Linked DNA regions of Coturnix japonica. The protein of the gene in region 2 interacts with the protein of the main gene of each other region in a biochemical or structural test. Links are inferred from orthologs where the notes say so. Each region holds a gene or a part of one and is shown on either strand. Other genes may lie near its edges.

Region 1 (4,216 bases), on a different chromosome or scaffold from region 2:
ACAGCGCTTATGAAGATGTTTGATTAACAGCAAGTGCTAAGCAAGCCCTGGGTCAGCTGTTTGCAAATCCATGCTCAGTGAACACCAAAAGGCTACTTCAAACATATTGCTCCGAGAGTCTGCATTGAGTTAATAAAGCTACAGCAATCCATAAGCCTGCACTGTTCCATAACTACACATTTTCCAAGTAATTCAAAGCGATATGAAGTATCTGGGTCATTAGAAAACAGATTTTTAAGGAGTCTGTATATGGCAGCTTTGCTGTTATTCAGAGAGCGCTGCCACACAGGAGAGCTCTCTGCATCCTGGGGTATCTAAGCAAGCTGAGCTGTGCTTTCAGTAATTACTTCCAGGAATAGCAGAGAAGAAAAGTCATAACTCCGTTGTGCCTTCGCTCAGAGAACGGGGGTATCACTCTGTAACACTCCCATTTTAATGTCTCAAAGCCTTTTTGCTCATGGATGTGGGCACGGCTGTGCTCAGGGCAGGGCTCTGGGTGCTTTGGTAAGTCGGAATGGAGCATGTCTGTAAGGACTGTCAGTGCAAACACAGCCAGCAGCCACTGCCTGCTGGGCACCATGCAAGGCTGACTGCTCCACTATCAGCCCAGGACAGTGATACTCATCAAATGGAAGCAACTAAACACGGCAACTGAGCTCTCCTTATTTCAATAGCATCTTTCGGCCAGCAAGTTTCATCTGTCCACACAAAATGTCAACTTGTTTTCAGCTACTTCTGTTCTACACTCCTAGAGAACCACTGACTTCAAGTCAATTACTGTCCAACTACCAGAATAATTGATGTTGGCTAACAGACCTTACGAGCTGCTCAGCTTCCCTCTCAAGTCAATAAGCATTTGCTGATCTCCCCACGTCTCAGCATCCGTCGTTTGCACACCTCCAAAGACGACTCCAACCCTCCAAAAGAAACACTCCACAGTTTCAGCACGTTTCACTTGTTGCAGAAAACTGAATGTAAAGCTTAAATAGAGTCTGGCGTAACGGAACCTCAGCTGGCACTACCCTGAAATACACATTCACACAACCCACTGCCAGAACCGGGGCTGGCTGAACGCATCACCCACAGCTCCCAGACACTCAGCTGCGAGTGACACTGTCTGCCCAGGGAAAGGGAAGCAGATGGCAAGAGGCTCCTGGCATTTTTCAGTGTTATGGCAAGTGTTGCTTCAACTTGTGCATACGCCACCCAGCCACACTGCTTTGGGAGCAGCCTCTTTCTGCAGGTCCTTCCACAAACAGAATGTTCATCAGGAAAGCAAGGCCTGAGCCTGTTATTTTTAAGCCCTGAACCAAAATGTCTCACACTCCGAGTTTCTGTCATCAGGAGAGAGAAAGAAAACACCTCTGAGGTTAAATGCCTGAGCCATGAGCTGCAGTGAAGCACTGAGAATGTATAGAGTGCAAACTTTGAGGGTCTGGGAAGTTGGAGATACAGAAATGGAAAGATTTCTTCTGAATGTGAAAGGAGCCGAGGCGTGTTGTGCAGCATCTCCACACACACAGCTGACTGTCAGTGGCAGTAAATACATCCTGTGTGCTAAACAAGGCGCGCTCCAGCCGTGTCTCTTTAGGCTCCGCAGCCTCCCCTGTGAGATGCCATCACTGACAACTGATGCTTTTCTGCTGCCATCTCTGCTGCGATCACCAGTTTCACTCTTTTCTTTGTTTCATTTAAACATTCCCCACCCAATACACCCCAGGACCATCACCGAGTCCTCCTTCACATCCTGCTGATCCCGGTGGCCTCTCACAACCTCATCCATCTACTTCCAAGACCAAAACGGCTCGTTACAATCCCAGCTGTTCCGGGACTGACCTTCCCCCGTGCTGTGAGAGCCAGCGATCTGCCTCCAAACGAACACAGCAGCGGGAGGAGCAATTTAACACAACACACCCGGCAACGAGGGTTTAGAGACGGCTCTAGTTGATGTAAAAGCGTACAACTTACAAATAAACCCAGCGATCACGGCTGTCTGCTATTACTCTCTCCCCACCCCCACCCCCTATTCTTTCGGTGGATAAAACAAGAGTCTACGGCTTTTCATCCCTCCAGGTCCTTTAGTTAAAGCGGTTTCATCCCTTTATCGCACACTGGGAGCCGTTTCGCACCGAGCCGTGTCTACACCCGCTGTGTCGGCTCCCGGTCCCGCTCCGCGCATTTACAGGGGATTTACCGAAACCCGGGCAGGAAATGCGGAGCTGTGCCGGGGTACAACGGCTCCGGACGGGGCTGGGGGGCTCGGAGGGACCGGGGGGAACCGGGACCCCATGGAGGGGGCCCTGCCCTGCCCTGCCCCGCTGAGGGGCGGAGCGGCCCCGAGCAGCGGGATGGGGCTGCCGGGGGGTCGGGGAGGGACGAGCCGCCCTGGGCCGCGCAGGTATCGCCGCTCACCTCATCTCCTTGTCCGAACTGCAGCCCCAGGGCCACGAAGTGCTCCACCCGGATGAAGCCGTCCGCATCCTCGTCGCACACGTCGAAAACCTCCTTGAGCTTCCTCAGGAACCGCAGCAGGCCGGCCGGCTCCATCGCGGCCGTTAGCTGGAGGCCGGCGGCACGGCCGCTGCAGCCATCATCAACCGCGCCTTCAGAGGGAGCGTGACGGCGGCTCCGGGGAGCGGGAGGGGACGGAGGGAGCGGGAGAAGAGAAGGGAGGGAAGGAAGGAGGAGAACGGGGAGGAACGAGAGCCCCGGGCGGAGGGAGGGAGCGAGGGAACGGAGAACAATAGGGCAGAGCCGGGATGGAGGGAGGGGCGCCGGGCGGCGGCCAGGGGTCGCTGAGCGGCGGCCGGCAGGTGCGCGATGACTGGGAATGATGGCAGGGCCGCTCGCGCCACCCAGCGGCCAGAGCCGGAACTGCAGCTTTGGCCGCTGCCGGTTGTTAAGACAAATCGGACCGTACCCAGAACAGAACAGAACACAGCGCTGCCTTCAGTCAGGACTACAGACCAACCCGAACGTGGCTGCTGTTTATTTGGTATTCTGACAGCTGGAACAAGATGCTGTGCTTCCTACCAGACACCGATACAGAGCAGTCACCTCATGCTCCAATGTAAAAATCAAACAATGTCTGATCAAGTCTCCTTTTGATAGTATTCCATATGAAAAGCGTTGCTTCCAAAACCAGGAAGCCTCTATGAGACTTAAGAGATCAAGAAAAAGTAGTGAAAATATTGGCTCTCATTAAATCCTTGTTTTAGGTATTGCTATAAACGTTCAGAATGACACTACTATTGCTTTAATATCATCCTGCTTTCTACTCTCCAACCCATGCTCAGAAGCTCATAGAGGGTTCAGTCCATTGGGATTCTCTTCTGCACAAGAAGAAGGTGTTGCAGGGCTCCTCCTTCACAGCAGAAAGCAGGAATCGCTGCTGGATGCACTTCAGGTGTTAAAGCTAAAGACAAAATTTGGGTCGTTAAGAAGTGAATGAAACAGGCAGATGAAGGAGATTAAAGTCCTCCCCTGGAGGGAGGCTGTGCAGGAAGCCTGAGGAACTGTGCATCCTCATTCAGGCATCTCATCTCACTGAGATGGGCTGCACACCCTCTTGTGTAGGTCTGCTACGCTGGCATTGTCAAATCTGCAGCTTCTAATCCAGCCAGGGAACTCAAGGACAAAGACCCAAAGACAAGGAAAGGAAATAGTCCAAAACTTCATACAGCAGGTTTGCTCTTAGGAACGAGCAGCTAATCCACCAGAACAGACGTCAGTTTCAGTCCTGATGTTCAAACAAACAAGAAAACAAAATGGAGAGGACCCTTCCAAGACAGAGGCAGAGCCTACAGCTGTTTATGAGACAGGAATCATCTTGGAAGAGTCATTCTGAAAAGTATTAAGGCACCAAACCACATCTTAGAAATTCAAAAGCTAGAGCTCATTCAAGGAGAAATTTGCCTTTTCAGAAATGCTTTTACACATCATCAGGAAGCTCAGAGGGGCTGTGTCCAAATACCAGTTGTTCCTCCTGCAGCTTATTTGTTCTTTTCCTCACACTCCACACAAACGCTGGCACTCAGCAGCAGGCCATACCAGCTGGCCTCCCCTGCCCTACTGCTTCTGTTGGGTCACCATCCTGACCATTTTCAGGGCCATCTCTCCTTGATCAGACGGTACCTAGCATGAAGATGAGAGCACACAGTGAGCAGCTGCTGTAGAGAAGACAGCAACATATACATGCTCAGTTTTCCTGTTGTAT
Region 2 (3,632 bases):
TGAGACAGGGAGCGGAGGCTGACTCCAGTTTACTTTAAGGATGCTTTATCCTGCTGTGAATGCTCACAGGGGATAAGATTAAAACACCAGTCTCTCATATTTGCCAAATAATACAAAGCAGCTTTGTGTGCACAAGAATTAGCCCTTGAAGTCTAGACATCTTACAACAGAGGAGCTTGGACAGGGACCATTATTCTAAGCCATAGAAGGAAAAGGTCCCCAAAACTCACCTAGTACAAACAACAGGAGAGGAAGTGTACTAGATTTAATGCCTTGCCCCCCCCACTGCCCTTCTCCAGCAAATCTATAACACAGCAAGACAAAAGGAAAGTTTTCTTCTTCTGCTACCATCTGTAACAACAGACCACACACTCACTTAAGACTGTGCTAACTATAATAGATCCATGTTTCCTACACCCAAAGCTATCGACCTAAGGTGGCTTCATCTGAGAATCTAGGTGTAGACCACTGTCCCAACCAGATCACCTTCCGTAGGGCAGGGAAACAAAGGAGTTTTGCTCCAGATCTCAGTCAAGACATCCCTGTCCAGGAAAGATCTAAGCAGCTGAGAGGCACTGACAGCAGCCTAAGATGTCTTTGCAGCACTCTTCCCAGCATGGAAGATATTAACTAAGCTGGTGCAGCAGCACGCCCTGCCCCTTCTGTCAGCCTCCTCCACACGATGCCTGTGGCAAAGCCTGTTGGCTTTATCAACTTTCTTCTTCAAATGACAGCAAGTATTCATCTAGGGTTACATTTGGAGGCAACCCAGCCACATACATACAGACTATCCATGATTCCACAGGGTCACTCTGAAAACCACATTCCTCAGATGACTGCTCACCTCTTTCCTTCAAAGCAAATCATTAACACAAATAGCCAGCTGTGAAGTGTTATCAAGAAGTTTATTGGCAGAACATTCATCCTTTGCATGCCAGTTACAGCAGAGATGGAGGCAAGCCTCTGCTAATGTATTATTTACTTCATCTTTATCTCCCTGAAACAGGAGTTGATGTCTGGAGCAAACCATGTGCCCACTAATCAACAGAAGTGTTTCTTCCAGCACAGCTGAACCAGCCCTTCCTCAAGAAGGATTCTGTCCGCATGCCCAAGAGTTCAAAACACTGTCACAGCAACACAGGGAGCCCTGACGTTTCTCAGAAAGCAACAGCCCCAACACTCTGTCAGAGTCCACTGAGGGCTAATCTTAATCATTTGCTCTCACATTACAGACTGCTATCCTCCAGAAATAAAACCAGGAAAAACAAACAAACAAAAAATACATATATTATATATATATGCATATCAAACCTCCACTAACTAGAATCCAAAATAACTTCTGGAATAAAAAAGTGCTGTTGGAAGCATACCAGGAGAGAGAAAAGAAACAGCCTAGTGCGTGCCCAACAGGTAAACTGCTTCTCCATAACAACAGCAGTATACTGTATCTGAGCATCACACAGACAGGCAGCAGCCCAGAGCACACCAGTCATCACTGCAATGGCACAGAGTGGTCCACGAAGGGGCTGAGGGCAGTTAGATCTCTCTCTCACCACCCCCCCACTGCAAGGGTACTCATAATATATTTCAAACAACCCAAGAAAATGCTCCAGAATGTATATTTATTAATTTTCTAGCTACCTCCCGCACTGCATGTTCCAATATGGCTAAAAAGTCCTTTATGATGCGTTTGTGTAAGAAAGTATCTATTACTTGCCAAGAAGAGAGAGAGAGAGAAAAAAAAAAAAAATCTAACTAGCTGCCAATGTCACAGAAGCGAGAAGTTACGCCTATCAGACAAAGGGGTTAAACAAAAAGGAAGTACCTCATCCACTGAGCATGAAAACAGCACCAGTCAGTGCTATCACGTGCTACAAAGGCCAGAAGTCCAGCCAGGTTTATTATATGCACTGACAGCAACCACCCTGCACTCAGGAGTCACTGCGTCCCAGACTACAGTACTGCTCACTTCTTGGCAGCTGTTATGCTCACTAATAGTGATGGAAACAAGGTAGATTGCGTTCTCCTCTGACAATAGCCATTTTGTGTGGAGGTGGGCATCAGACAATTCTCTCACACAGCCACTCCCTGTTCCACAAATGGGAAAGTGAAGCACATAAACCAGGCGGACTGGAAACCCAGGGCAGAGCAAAGTGAGTAAGACCAGACTCATTCCCAAGCCCTGTGCTGGTCTATCAACTATGACACTTCAAAAGCAGCGTCTGAATATTACAGCTGTGAGGAATGATTGAATTGCTAAATTTTACACACTTTATAGGCAAATAAATGCCTATTTGCTGCGTATCAGAGCAGCGTTCTGCCCTTCCTCCTCCAAACACAAAGTATTAGATGACTCACCTGTCAGAATAGTCTGGAAAGCTGCTTCCACATTTGTAGAGTCTAAAGCAGATGTCTCGATAAATGACAAACCATTCTTCTCTGTGTGGACAGAAATACTATAATTAGAGATGTATAACATTTATCTCCCATCCAAAAGAACTTTTGTACCAGACAACGTACGAGGTGTTGCTGATGAGATAGATGCATTAGTGCTAAAAAAAAAAGCATTAAAAGTTGTAGGGTTTTCCTCTTTATGATCTGAAACCATGCACAAAACACAAACCTAAACCCACCAGCAGAGCTTCTACAAGAAAAGCAATGCATAGGCACGGAACTAAGTCTGTTTTAAAACTGTTTTCAAGTGCCTCTGGCAGATTCTTGAGAGTCTATCAGCATACAGGCTCTATAGGACTTCAATTTTAACTGAATGAAAAAAGACATGCAGCAGTACGTGGCACTGAGTCTTTTCCCTCCTACCTGTACACTCACGTATTTCACATCAGGTAGGCAGAGTCTGGACAGTTTGAATTAGGAAATTCTTTTGAGTTCACCAACCTGCAAAAGCTCTGGCCTCATCTGTAGGGACTGCTCTCAGGTGGCGCAAGTCACTCTTGTTTCCCACAAGCATGATTACAATATTGCTGTCTGCGTGGTCTCTCAGCTCTTTCAACCATCTCTCGACATTCTCGTAAGTAAGGTGCTTAGCAATGTCATACACCAGTAATGCCCCTACAGCACCTCGATAGTACCTGTGGGTGAAGAGATGTGTTACAGAACCAGCAAGAAACATGATGGAAAGTGACAAGCTACTGAGTAATAACTGTTTCCCACTACTGCAAAGACAGTTATATTAAAAATAATAATAACACACAGCATGATACATGGGACTTGAAGCAGCTGAAATACAGCATCCAGACCAGGGTTAATCCGTGTGACCACAACAGCAGCCAGGGCAGCTCAGGGGCTGGTGGGTTACCCTGCACCTCAAAAATGAAGCACTGTATCTGTGGGGGATCTACTGTCACCTTCAGCCTCTGACCCACACCTGAAAGGCTCCCCACCCACCATTGTGGGTGCAGCACAGGCACAGCCCGGAGCAGCAGGAAGACTTTATAATGACTCACTGGATCATAAAAAAAAAAAAACCATCAACTTGATGTGTTCTCTTTATGAAATGCCCCATTTGGTTTCCTCTCAGACCAGGGAGAGGCACAGTTACACATTCAAAAAGAAAGAGGTTGTGCTTTCCCACCCCACAATTACCTCCAGCTTTATTCAAATCGAGCTTTAGC

What was found.
Region 1: the proteins of RAB11A (region 2) and RAB11FIP4 form a complex in vitro, tested with the Homo sapiens proteins (2 studies listed by BioGRID, with this or other methods). The link is inferred for Coturnix japonica from reciprocal best matches to the Homo sapiens genes RAB11A and RAB11FIP4.

The regions. Positions count from the first base shown.
Region 1 is NC_029533.1:7,736,085-7,740,300, forward strand, and holds the start of RAB11FIP4 (rab11 family-interacting protein 4), read right to left. Parts: upstream 2,814-4,216; 5' UTR 2,548-2,813; coding exon 2,413-2,547; intron 1-2,412. Other genes in the region: SCPEP1 (retinoid-inducible serine carboxypeptidase), read right to left, coding at 4,069-4,134. UniProt on the Homo sapiens protein: Acts as a regulator of endocytic traffic by participating in membrane delivery. Required for the abscission step in cytokinesis, possibly by acting as an 'address tag' delivering recycling endosome membranes to the cleavage furrow during late cytokinesis.
Region 2 is NC_029525.1:16,456,717-16,460,348, reverse strand, and holds part of RAB11A (ras-related protein Rab-11A), read right to left. Parts: intron 3,090-3,632; coding exon 2,896-3,089; intron 2,440-2,895; coding exon 2,359-2,439; intron 1-2,358. UniProt on the Homo sapiens protein: The small GTPases Rab are key regulators of intracellular membrane trafficking, from the formation of transport vesicles to their fusion with membranes.